2 linked regions of the Saccharomyces cerevisiae S288C genome follow. The protein of the gene in region 1 interacts with the protein of each later gene in a biochemical or structural test. Each region holds a gene or a part of one and is shown on either strand. Other genes may lie near its edges.

Evidence for each region.
Region 2: the proteins of SPB1 (region 1) and NOC3 are reported together in a solved structure, tested with the Saccharomyces cerevisiae proteins (one study listed by BioGRID).

Annotation. Positions count from the first base shown.
Region 1 is NC_001135.5:29,813-38,363, forward strand, and holds SPB1 (27S pre-rRNA (guanosine2922-2'-O)-methyltransferase), read left to right. Parts: upstream 1-1,636; coding exon 1,637-4,162; downstream 4,163-8,551. Other genes in the region: RDT1 (Rdt1p), read left to right, coding at 1,098-1,184; PBN1 (Pbn1p), read right to left, coding at 4,331-5,581; LRE1 (Lre1p), read left to right, coding at 6,053-7,804; APA1 (bifunctional AP-4-A phosphorylase/ADP sulfurylase), read right to left, coding at 8,024-8,551. UniProt on the Saccharomyces cerevisiae protein: Required for proper assembly of pre-ribosomal particles during the biogenesis of the 60S ribosomal subunit. Specifically methylates the guanosine in position 2922 of the 25S rRNA at the stage of 27S pre-rRNA maturation.
Region 2 is NC_001144.5:153,843-157,933, forward strand, and holds NOC3 (Noc3p), read right to left. Parts: upstream 2,493-4,091; coding exon 501-2,492; downstream 1-500. Other genes in the region: YLR001C (uncharacterized protein), read right to left, coding at 1-135; CMS1 (Cms1p), read right to left, coding at 3,013-3,888. UniProt on the Saccharomyces cerevisiae protein: Required for synthesis of 60S ribosomal subunits and the transport of pre-ribosomes from the nucleoplasm to the cytoplasm. Also required for initiation of DNA replication.

The DNA of each region.
Region 1 (8,551 bases):
TGTTATATTCTAAAGAGTTAAATTATCCAATTCCAAATTCTAGGGACGGTTTCCAAAGATTTGTATTGTCCAGTGACATAATTTTCACTAAAACATTGATCTGTTTAATAGGTTTGCTATAAATGCACAATAATTTTTCACCCATGATACCCAATTTCAAGAGAAGCAATTGCTACATATAATTATTTAGGCTTTACTATCTACTACTCATTGACTGTGCCCTTTTACACAATTATAACAAATATGTCAAAGCAGATGCCATGAACTTTGTATCTGAATTTTTGATTTCCTTTTAATTCTAATTGCAGACGACGTAAATATAGTTCTGAATTTCAAAGTCACTGTTAATTAATTGTTCTAATTGTTTGGTTTTTTTAATATAAATCACTAGTGCTTAAGTTCTGTTGACGCACACAGTACCTATCTTTGATTCCTTCGTGCAAACAGTATTCCGGCACGTTAATTGATACCAAAAAGATTTCAAAATCAGATGCTTCAAGACTAATTGTATACTTTATGTGACTTCTGGAGTTTAATTTGTTGTATTGATGAGATAATATTGTCTATTATATTGCCAATAACAACCAGCGCCAGGTGTACTAAGTCGAGATGACAGAAAATTTATAATAAGTGTAAATACAATAAATTTTGTAAATAAATAACTACTTCAATAGAAATCTCAAAGTCGAAGAAACACAGAACACAGAATGAAACTGGACTAAATGATTTTCAATAAAGGAAAAGCACGAAAAATTTTTTGAACTTTTTTGGGACAGCGTGGATCGTGTAATTACTGTATTGGGAAATTTACACGATTCTCGACAAATAAAGAAAAAGGCGCGTTTAAAGACTTACAAGCACACCTTTGAATTATTTTTGTTCTCTATGATTATCAAATGTGCTAGTGTTTGCAAGATGGTGCTTTTTTTTCTTTAGATTGCCACGTTTCTGCTCCTCTTTGTGGTTTTCTTTTTTTTTTTCAATCTTACTTATAAAATGAATATTTCAATTGATGAATAGCTATATATTGGATACAAAAATTAGCATTTAATCGAAAACTGCAGCATGTATTTAATCGAAAACTACAGCATGTAGCTATGATACGACAGAAGATTTTTGTTTTTATAGTTAAGTCAAGAAGAAATTCTATTTGTCCAGCAATCCGGCGCAAAGAAGACTACTAAAGGGTATTGAAAAATTTCTAGAACCAGAAATAATCGAAAGCATTACTTTTTTTGGCTCTATAAAGGAGTTCTGGACAGCTTGAACTTCCGAAGTCTGTCTGTTTAGCTCGTTAAGATAAATCTCAAAAGAGTAGCAAGCAGGTGGGAGGGATAATTTGGATTAAAGTGTATATATTGCGTATATATAGCCACGTAAACCTCACACTATTGAGTTTAAACATTTTTCACCTTACGTTATTATTCTTTTGTCTAATTTTAATCTCCTCCAGTATACTAAAACCGCAAAAGCGGGTTACCCAGCTTGTTTCTTTTTGTCTGAAAAATTTTTTGCGATGCCCATTATGAAAAATTGGCAATAATAGTATAGTAGTTAGTTTAAGTTTAGATTCTTTCAATACTCATTCTGCTTCAGTTTGTAGTTAGATTTAACTCAATAGAGGTGATTGGCAAAAATGGGTAAGACACAAAAGAAGAATAGTAAGGGACGTTTAGATAGATACTATTATCTAGCAAAGGAGAAAGGTTATCGTGCTCGTTCATCCTTTAAGATTATTCAGATTAATGAAAAGTATGGCCACTTCTTAGAAAAATCGAAGGTTGTTATTGATCTGTGTGCTGCTCCTGGTTCATGGTGTCAAGTTGCATCCAAACTCTGTCCTGTCAACTCCTTAATTATTGGTGTTGATATTGTTCCAATGAAGCCGATGCCCAATGTTATAACTTTTCAAAGTGATATTACAACAGAAGATTGTAGATCAAAATTGAGGGGTTATATGAAGACTTGGAAAGCTGATACAGTGTTGCATGATGGTGCTCCTAATGTTGGTTTGGGTTGGGTTCAGGATGCTTTCACCCAATCTCAATTAACCTTACAAGCTTTGAAGTTGGCCGTCGAAAATTTGGTGGTGAACGGTACTTTTGTTACTAAAATTTTCAGATCCAAGGATTATAATAAATTGATTTGGGTTTTCCAACAATTGTTTGAGAAAGTTGAAGCCACAAAACCACCCGCATCAAGAAATGTTTCTGCAGAAATTTTTGTAGTGTGTAAAGGTTTCAAGGCACCAAAGAGGCTGGACCCAAGATTACTGGATCCAAAAGAAGTTTTTGAAGAATTGCCAGATGGGCAACAGAATATGGAGTCCAAGATTTATAATCCCGAAAAAAAAGTTAGAAAAAGACAAGGTTATGAGGAAGGTGATAATTTACTGTATCATGAAACCTCAATTTTGGATTTTGTCAGGACGGAAGACCCAATAAGCATGCTTGGAGAAATGAATAAGTTTACAATTGATGAGAATGACCATGAATGGAAGATCTTGAAGAAATTGAAACAAACCACAGACGAGTTCCGTTCCTGTATTGAAGATTTAAAAGTCTTGGGTAAAAAGGATTTTAAAATGATCCTAAGATGGAGAAAGATTGCAAGGGAAATCTTGGGCATCGAAGTTAAGGACGACGCTAAAACAGAAATTGAAGTAGTACCGTTAACAGAAGAGGAGCAAATTGAAAAAGATTTGCAAGGTTTACAGGAGAAGCAGCGTCTAAATGTCAAGCGCGAAAGAAGAAGGAAGAACGAAATGAAGCAAAAGGAACTACAGAGAATGCAAATGAACATGATAACCCCCACTGATATTGGTATTGAAGCCGCAAGTTTGGGTAAAGAATCGTTGTTTAATTTGAAAACTGCAGAAAAGACTGGTATCTTGAACGACTTGGCGAAGGGTAAGAAAAGAATGATTTTTACAGACGATGAATTAGCCAAAGATAATGATATTTACATTGATGAAAACATCATGATCAAAGATAAGGATTCTGCCGCTGATGCGGACGATTTAGAAAGCGAGTTGAATGCCATGTATAGTGATTATAAAACTAGAAGGTCGGAAAGGGATGCCAAGTTTAGAGCTAAGCAAGCACGTGGTGGCGATAATGAGGAAGAATGGACCGGTTTTAATGAGGGAAGTCTAGAAAAGAAAGAAGAGGAAGGTAAAGATTATATCGAAGACAATGACGATGAAGGTGTCGAAGGAGACTCCGATGATGATGAAGCCATCACCAATTTGATTAGCAAATTGAAGGGACAAGAAGGTGATCACAAATTGAGTAGTAAGGCACGTATGATTTTCAATGATCCGATATTTAATAACGTTGAACCTGATTTGCCAGTAAATACCGTCAATGATGGCATAATGAGTTCCGAGTCTGTTGGTGATATTTCTAAATTAAATAAGAAAAGAAAACATGAAGAAATGCACCAGAAACAAGATGAAGCAGATTCTTCGGATGAGAGTTCAAGTGATGACTCCGATTTCGAAATTGTGGCCAACGATAATGCATCAGAAGAATTCGATTCTGATTATGATTCAGAGGAAGAAAAAAATCAAACAAAGAAAGAAAAGCATTCCAGAGACATTGATATTGCTACTGTTGAAGCCATGACTTTGGCACATCAGTTAGCATTGGGTCAGAAAAACAAGCATGATCTTGTTGATGAAGGTTTCAATAGATACACCTTCCGTGACACCGAAAATTTGCCAGATTGGTTTTTAGAAGATGAAAAGGAACATTCAAAGATAAATAAGCCGATTACTAAGGAGGCAGCGATGGCAATTAAAGAAAAAATAAAGGCAATGAACGCCCGTCCTATTAAGAAGGTTGCTGAAGCTAAGGCAAGAAAGAGGATGCGTGCCGTAGCTCGGTTAGAAAAGATCAAGAAGAAGGCGGGCTTGATTAACGATGATTCAGACAAGACAGAGAAGGACAAGGCTGAAGAAATTTCTAGATTGATGCGTAAGGTTACCAAAAAACCAAAGACCAAGCCAAAGGTTACTTTGGTTGTTGCCTCAGGTAGGAACAAAGGTTTGGCAGGTAGACCAAAGGGCGTTAAGGGTAAGTATAAGATGGTTGATGGTGTCATGAAGAATGAACAAAGAGCCCTAAGACGTATCGCAAAGAAGCATCACAAGAAAAAGTAGTAACAAAGAGCATTATTTTTCCATTCCCTTGTATAATATTGAAAATAAAGGAAAAGAAAGCAATAGATATATTATGTATACATAGAATTAATCAAATTATCATCAAAAAACTTATAGGAAACCTATCGTTTTGAATTCAGAAAATACGAGTGCACAGTAGAACAATTTTTATTCCCGTTTTACTGATCTTTTCTTCTTGTTGTTACCAAATACCTTGGAGAAAATGTATATGATGGAGATGAGTAAGCATAGTAACGTACCATTTTTGATCTTGGAATAATCCTTTGTGTCAGGCCTTGGAATTGGTACTAGAAGAGTTGTCGAGTTCAAATGGCGGAATGTAGTATCGTCTGTAAAGAGAGATTCATATCCTAGACCTTTTTTATAAAATGGATTACGGGAAACTTTATTGTCACCTGTGTCGCAGGCTAATATAACTTCTGGATCAAATGAAACTTCTAATTTATCCCCTTTATTATTAGAAGGCTCAATATATCTAGTATGCAATGTCACTTCATTCATTGTGCCGGCTTTCAATTCAAAGATACTTTCAGAACCCCATGCCTTATCTCGAAGAGAGTATTCTGGTAATTCTAAGTCGTCTTCTCCAAAAAGTAGTAAGGGAGAGGATTGGAATTTATCGATAAATAATTCTAACGGCAATTGCAGGTGCATTAGATACATGCATTTAGGGCGTTCTTCGAAATCTGTGAGATCAATCATGATTTTTGGATGCAAACCGATAGGTTCATTCAGATATAGTGATGTCGTAGTCGTCGAGTGATTGTATGCGATATGGCCCTGTTTATACAATAAGGATGTTTTCTGACATCTTTCCATTTTACCATCGTCCATCCTCCAATTACAACGTATTCCACCAATATCGACATCACTTTCATCACTTGCATCCACAAAGAATACACCTACTTCGAGTTTCTCATCTTTCACTCTTGCAATTGTAAATTCTTCACCCTGTTTCAACAGACGATATTCAACAATTTGGATTTGTGTGGGCTCCACTGATATATCATATGTAAAATCTTCTGGATTCCATGACAGATTCAAATCTACTTCGGGAGGCAAGTACTGCTCTATGTCAAACTTCTCACTGTGAAATGAATTGTAGACTGGGTTAGTAATAAACCTTTCCGGCACATCCGAAGAATTTGAGTAAACTGAAAAGCCAGCACTCAGTTCATTTTCTATAACGCTTAAACTTCTAGCCAAGTCCGCTCTGGGCCTCCAAGTGATTCTCGTAAAGGATTTATCCAAGCTTCCAGTCCTCTCTAATAGCCACCTTTGTTGTAAAACCACACCAGAACCTCCACGAACAGTCAAATGAGTGTCATTTTGGCGCATATGATTACCGATATCCTCAGGGGCATTGTAGAGTACAGTCACTCTATGTCTTGTCACCATTACTCAGCTAGAAACGCACACTTCTTGCGTTTATTCTCCTCCCGATTTGATTATGATTAGCGTTTCCATTATTTGATCTTTTTTATCAGGGGGATCTTCAAAGAAAGGAACTTTTTTTAGGAAAAAAAAAATAATCATCTTTTATTACATGTGTAATACTTCAAGCAATCATAAACAAGAGTTAAGAAGGCAAAGTTCTGCTGTTAGTGTGTCCTCCAATACTCTTGCACGACAAAGTTTTAGTTATCCCCTTCTACGTGTATTGTTCCTCCGTGGTCGATTGTGTTCAAAGATTGGGAGCTCTTTTCGTGTTTTGCACTAAGAGCATACTGTTAATCCGCAAAGGCCACTAAAACTTACCTGCATTTGTCTACTTAAAGATACATTCCAACTATTTACATTCATTTTTATTTCTAAAAGAGCATTCTGAACCCTCGGCAATTATTTCATACTCCTTCTCAGAATAGGAAAATGCCCAATACGCATACTCAACATGTGCAAATATCAGAGCCAAATCCTGTAAATACTTTGTCTACACCATCCAAAAGAGGTCACCGCCATCGCAGATCGCTAGCAATATCAGGAGATTTTGATTTTTTGAAACAGCCTGCAGCAATTGTGAATTTACCACCTCCACAGGCGGCTGAAAATTGTCCTTCAACTGCCCCAACTGCTGTATCAAGTACATTATCGCCAATACGCTACAATAGATTTCCTTGCAAAACCAATGAAGACGCTGGAACGTTAGATTTGCCTGAACCAAGATTTTATCCGTTATCACCAAAGAACAATCTGCAAACACCAAGTCCACGATTTTTCATTAGTGAAGAGCCAAGTTTTTCATCGCCAGTTAAAGGCGTCCCAGATGCCATTATTAACCTTGACGATGCGTTGAAGACAAGGCCTAGGTCATTTAAATCACATAGAAGATCTGAATCCGCTCCTCCTGATTTGGAGGTTATGGTAGATAAGGGCAATTGTGCAGCCGGTTCTAACTCTATGATTAAAGAAGAAGAGGACTCCTTAATTGAACCAGAATCGAAAAATGAATATTATGAGCAAAAGCTTCCAACAGCACTATTATCCCCACTGCGGCCTTCCCTTTGTGTATCTGAACAGGCCATTGATGTAGATGATTCAGCTCTCAATGGGTCACCGACCCATCACAACCATGGGATGCAAAACGCCAATGCACGGAATTCCAACACATTCAATTCGTTGAAGATCAAAGGCCAAAAGCAAAGATATTATCATTATACGAAGCAGCTACCTTTGACCGTAGGCTGTGACTCGCAATCTCCAAAAGAACAAAGGTCGGCTGCTTCAATGACAATCAATCAGGCAATGACACCTTCTTCCCTGGCCTATACCCCTTCTAAACTAGCATCTACTCCCGCAACACCAGTATCCTTTTATGACAGCAATGCGGACATTAACTTAGAAAGTGATAATTTTCCACTAAAAGATAACCCTAGATATGCCAAGGATGGTTATCCTAAAAAGTGCGGCAATTCACAGCTTAATCGTGTGCTGGATAGCGATAAAAGACAGGATTTTAGTGGAGAATCGAGAAGAAGAAGATCGGGCAGTCCTATCTCCCACATGCAACACCGCAACCTGATTGATAATATGAAAGGTAGACGAAACAGTAACACGATAAACTCAATCTTCAACTACAAGAGTCAACATTATGAAATGCCATATGATGATATGATGAAAAATGAAAACATTAATGCACAGTCCATGCCCTTTTCAGTCAACGGTGTCAACAATGAAAATAGTATCGGAGGGGTTATTACGAGAGCGGACGATGCACCCCTTCAACACTCTGTGGTCAAATCCTGTACGCCTGATGGCAAGGAAGAAATGAATAGGCTTAAAAGTAATGACAGTAATGAATATTCCAAGTCTGAAGGGCAGATCAGAACCAATTCGCAACTAAGTAAGGACATTCTCATGGGTGAACCAGGTGATATGGTTGATCTGTCCTCTTTTGTCAACGCGCAGAGAAAAGCCTCAAATGAAACTGGTGACTTAGTCTTTAGTTTATCCCAGGATGATGACGCACTGAAAACGTTCCATGCGAGCAACAGCGCAGCAACAAGCAATGAAAGCTGGTGTATTAGCGATGATGCGTTAGGAAAGCAGGCGCAGGACAGTGAAGTTAGGAGGAAAAGAAAATCCAAATTAGGACTCTTTAGACATATTTTTTCAAGGAAGTAATACAACAATATTAATAATAAGTAATAAAAAGGTGAATCGTAACCTTAACGGCATTGATTGCATGTAGTTTTAATAATAAAGTGTAGAATAATAAATATAAAATTTCAAAGTCATCAGAAATAAAAATTGAATAGACATATACATATAGAAATTACTTCTATCATTTAAATACATATATATACATACATGTATACGTGTATACTTGTACTTGTGAAGGACTCAATAGTTGTATTCGTTTGGTTTTTGACCAGAAGTGTTTGGGAAACCACATTCCAATAAGATATCGTTAATCAATTCAGGTTTTTCAGTAATCTTGGAGAAAACTTCATCATTTTTGGTTAAGATCATACCACAATAACCTGTGGAGTTGAAACCTATCTTCATTTCATCAGAAAAGGCCTTCGAGCGTGGAACGACACAGATCCATTCCTTGGTTAACATAAGATTGTAGGATTTCTTTAGTTCTGGATTTTCGTTCAACCAGTCCTGGAAAAAGGTCAAAGCTCTTTGCAATATGGAGATGTAACACATAGCTAATAGGTCTTCATCAACAGTTTCTTCAGACTCCGGCATTGGCAAGACAAAATGAGCGAACGAGACTTTAGCATCTTGCAAAGGTTCAGTATTGAAAGTTGGTAGGAAATGTTCTTTACCATTACATAGTCTATCTTGGAAAGTGACGAACTTTTCAGGCATTTGCAGAATTTGCAAATGTTTGTGGTCCAATGAAGAACCACTGGCTGGACC
Region 2 (4,091 bases), on another chromosome or scaffold:
AACATTTTCTGAGAGGATATCTATTACTGTGCTAAATGGAAAATCGTCCCCTGGGTTTTGTAGAAGTGCTTGTGTAAGCCCTAATATCGGCAGTAGCCAAAAAATGTATTTAATTGTTTGGATTGCCATGTTCATCAAAGGGCTCCGTTTGATTCAGTTAATACATGCTGTCACTCACAGCAGCTTAGATAAGAAGCCGTTTTGTCTTATTTTCTAGGCCCTTAATATACGCCTAATGGGGAAGTCCGACCGAACAAAATTCTCCTACCGGGTTTTCACGGTAATGTTCTTCCATAAAAAAAGACAATATAGTAAGCTGTTAATATTGATTTGGTGAACTTGAATCTGATATTTGTTTCTATTGCTTACGTATAATACTTTTGCGGTAATTCATTCAAATTTCATACAATGCTAATATTTATACAATTCTACTCGACACGGCAAAAATGATTGGCTAACGATAATCGTGGCTCTTTATATACTTAATATATAGGATCTAGCTATTTAGAACACTCTTTAGATCTAGATGATAGAGAGCGTAGCCCCTTTGTAACTACAGGACAATAATGCTTTTCAAGAAGAGCATTATCCCATAAGGTTGCTGCCTCTGGGTTACTCCTTGAAGGATTATCGGCTTCCATTATGAAATGACCGTTGCCTATTCTATCCTCGGAAGAGTAAAGGCCTGAAATTTCTGGATATCTATTCATTAATTTATCAATAAATTTAAGAATGGCAATACTTGTTTTTTCTGGGGTATGGCTGATGCACATGTACAATCTTTTGGTAAACGCCGTAGCCCTTTCTTTAGTCCCTGATTTAGAGCGGAAAAATACATGGTCCAGAGCCTTTAGCAGAAGTTCTGCTTTGGTAGAAACGTTAACTGATGGTTTTATTATTTCGTTATTGAGTGGGTCAGCCAACCTTAGCGATCTATAAGATAATTCGATGTCTGCATCAAGACAGATATAAGGTAATAGCGCGTAAAGCCCATCGACGAATTTGGACAAATCCACATTAACTTTCATATATTGTGTATTTGAAATAAGTGAGAATGCACTAACGATACAAAGCAAAGCCTTACGGACCTCAGCAGAGGAAAGGTTATCGAATTCAGTGTCACTAATAAGTTCTTTCATTACTTCGAGGAAGTCCCCTAATAGATCAAAGTTGGCCATATTACCAAACTTCGTTAGACCTTCCAAAACCGATCCAATGAGTGTTTTTGCATTGTTTTTCAAGATATTCAAATATATAGTGAAAACGATTTTTAGAATTTCGGATTGGTTTCTTTCTCTTTCCTCCGCAGAAACAGCTTGCTCAGCGTTACGCATTTCTTCCTCAATTTGTTGCATCTCTTTTCGAGCTTTTCTTTGCTTCTTAGAAAGATGGACCCTATCTTTCTTTTTGAGCTTAGGAGCGCTAACGTTACCTTTCAATTTAGTATTAGGGTCATAGTCATGTAAGACATCTAACGATAATAACATATTTAAAACAGATTCTTCGATGTTGAAGTTCCTCGTCTTTAGTATTTTGTTGAAAATTCTTAGTATCTCGAATGATATTGAGCCCTCTTCGTCCTCATTTAATAGAGTTTCAAATGTCTGGATTATTTGAATGGAAGTTGGATCTGTTGAAATTCTTGGTTTACAAATTCTACGCAACAGTAAAGTGAAAATGTCTGTTCTAAAGTTGAAATGGGATGCCGTTGAAATCAATTCTTTTGCGGCTTGAGTGGCCAAAATCCCTAATGAAACCTGTATAGGAGCAGCATTACTGGGAGTTTTTGAAAGACTCTGTAATCTTCCGACGTAATTTTTGTAGTTATAAACTAAGGCTTGCTCAAAGTTTCTAAGCTTGGAGACTTCTTTAGAAACTTTTTCCTTCTTTTCAGTTTCAGTTAGTGGTCGAATTCTATAGCCTGGTATGATACTCTTAAACACGGGGACCAAAGCCAACATGGAAAACTTACAAGTATTAGGATTTTTAGATTCCACCATTTTACATAGACGCCCCAACGCAGCAGTATTTTCTTCAGGCTCCTCCATAACTTTAGTGACTAAATCGGCAATGTCTTCTTTTAGTTGCAGAATTTTTTCCTCCGTATCAGGCTCATCCTCCTTTGCCTCTGCTTCTTGTTCTTCATTAGGTCCCTCATCATCTTCTGAAGAGTCATTAGAGTCTTCGTCTTCCTCATCATCGTCCTTTGGTTTTTCTTGGGCTTTATGCAATTTTCTTTCAACTTTACCGTTAACTTTTATAGGCAGGCCTTCAACAAGATTTGATGTATCAGACCGATTCTTCCGAGGAACCATTTCGTAATCCTGTTCTTCTTCATCCCAGGATGAGCCTTTTGCGCTATATATGGTATTTTCATCCATATCTTCCGGTGCATTTTGGAAAACATTGCCTTCTAACAAGGAATCTTCGTGCTTTCTTTTCTTTGCAGTCCTTTCCTGAATGCGAAATTGAGATCTATTTCTCTTAGCCATTATTACTATGATATCTCCAGCTTTTATCCCGGAATTATACTCTTATGATTGAAGACATAAAATGCCAAGTTTATACCATGAAAATACTATATATGGCAGGCAGGTGAATGAGATGAGATAAAATTTTCAGTTTTCGGGCATCGCTGAAAAAATTCAAAAACTAAAGTAAAACGACGTCCCATGGTCTACTCTACGGTGAAGAAAATGAGGGAAGACATTGAATTTCTGAATCTAAGTAACTACAAAAAAGCATACACTCCATGGAAAGAGTAAAATAGGATAAATTGGTTTTATGTAGTTAAAGAAAAAATACATTGTTATATATGGAGTTTGCTGCGCGCCTAGGCGTTCTCGAAGTTTCTCCTTTGATTTTACTTTTTGGAAGGGCTTTGGACAATTTAAAGAAGATAATTTGAAGTACCCCATCAAATGCTAGAATGAAATATTTAATATACTAAATTAAGGCTGGTATTTAAAAACGTAATCTTATGTGTAGAACCTCAGTGAAAAAGCGCTATTATTAATATAACAGTATTTTCACGGAGCTTTTTTTATTCAAAAAGGTTTTCAAGACTTGGCAGAGGACGGCTGCATTCTCGAATGATAATATAGTATTATCCTTAGGATCTAAATAACTTGCATCAAGAATGATATCTAACTTTTCCTTACCTTGGAAAAGTAAGTCAGTAGCTTCTATAATTTTCTGCATTCTTGTTGGAGTGGCAATAAAATATAGTGAATCTTTATTTTTGTTTGATTTTTTAGAGCTGTCAGTAAGTAAACGTTCCACGGTGGCTATGTCATCCTTTAGTTTACTTTTAGAGAATAATTTGACGCAATTTTTGCCACCGTTTAGACTACGATAAACGTCTGCTACTCTAATATTAGACATAGAAAAAACAATTTTTTTTGGAGCTACGGAAAATTTTTGAATAAAGGCTGGGAAATTGCTTAATCTGCGTTCAGCGTCAAATTTTTCTGTCGAAAGAAAATCATTTCTTTTGAAGTAAAGTTCCTCTAATTCTAAAACACTCAAGTCAGGATTTTTTTCTCGTATCAAAGTTGTTAGGTACTCAATAATTTTTTCTGGTGAACTTGCTGGAAGTGCTTTTCGTTGTGAGACGATATACTGGCTTTCCTCTTTCTTTTTCTCAATTAGCTTTGATTTTTTCTGTAGCTTTTTCTGTCTTTTCGAAATAGGTCTATTCGAATCATCTTCTGAATTTCTCTCCTCTTTTTTCCCATCTATATCATCAACGTCATCGTCATCTTGTTCTATAGACCTCTTTTGTACCTTTTTGGTTGGGGGACTACCATCCTTGGCGTCAAAAATTACTTCATGTTCGGCATCAAAATCATAGGCGAGTCCATCATCTAAATCATCTGGATTAGACATTTTCAGCTCAATTGTCCTGACGATATGTTTAGAAGTTAGTAGCGGGGATCAAATTTCGACTTTCATTGCCTCATCCATGGTCATCTCAAAAATTTTCTCTTCAATTTTTTGGTAAATACCAAGTGCAATGAATGTTTGGGTGTCTTTGAATATTGAATATTACAGACTAAAAATATTATATATTGTAAATTAAAAGTTGATTA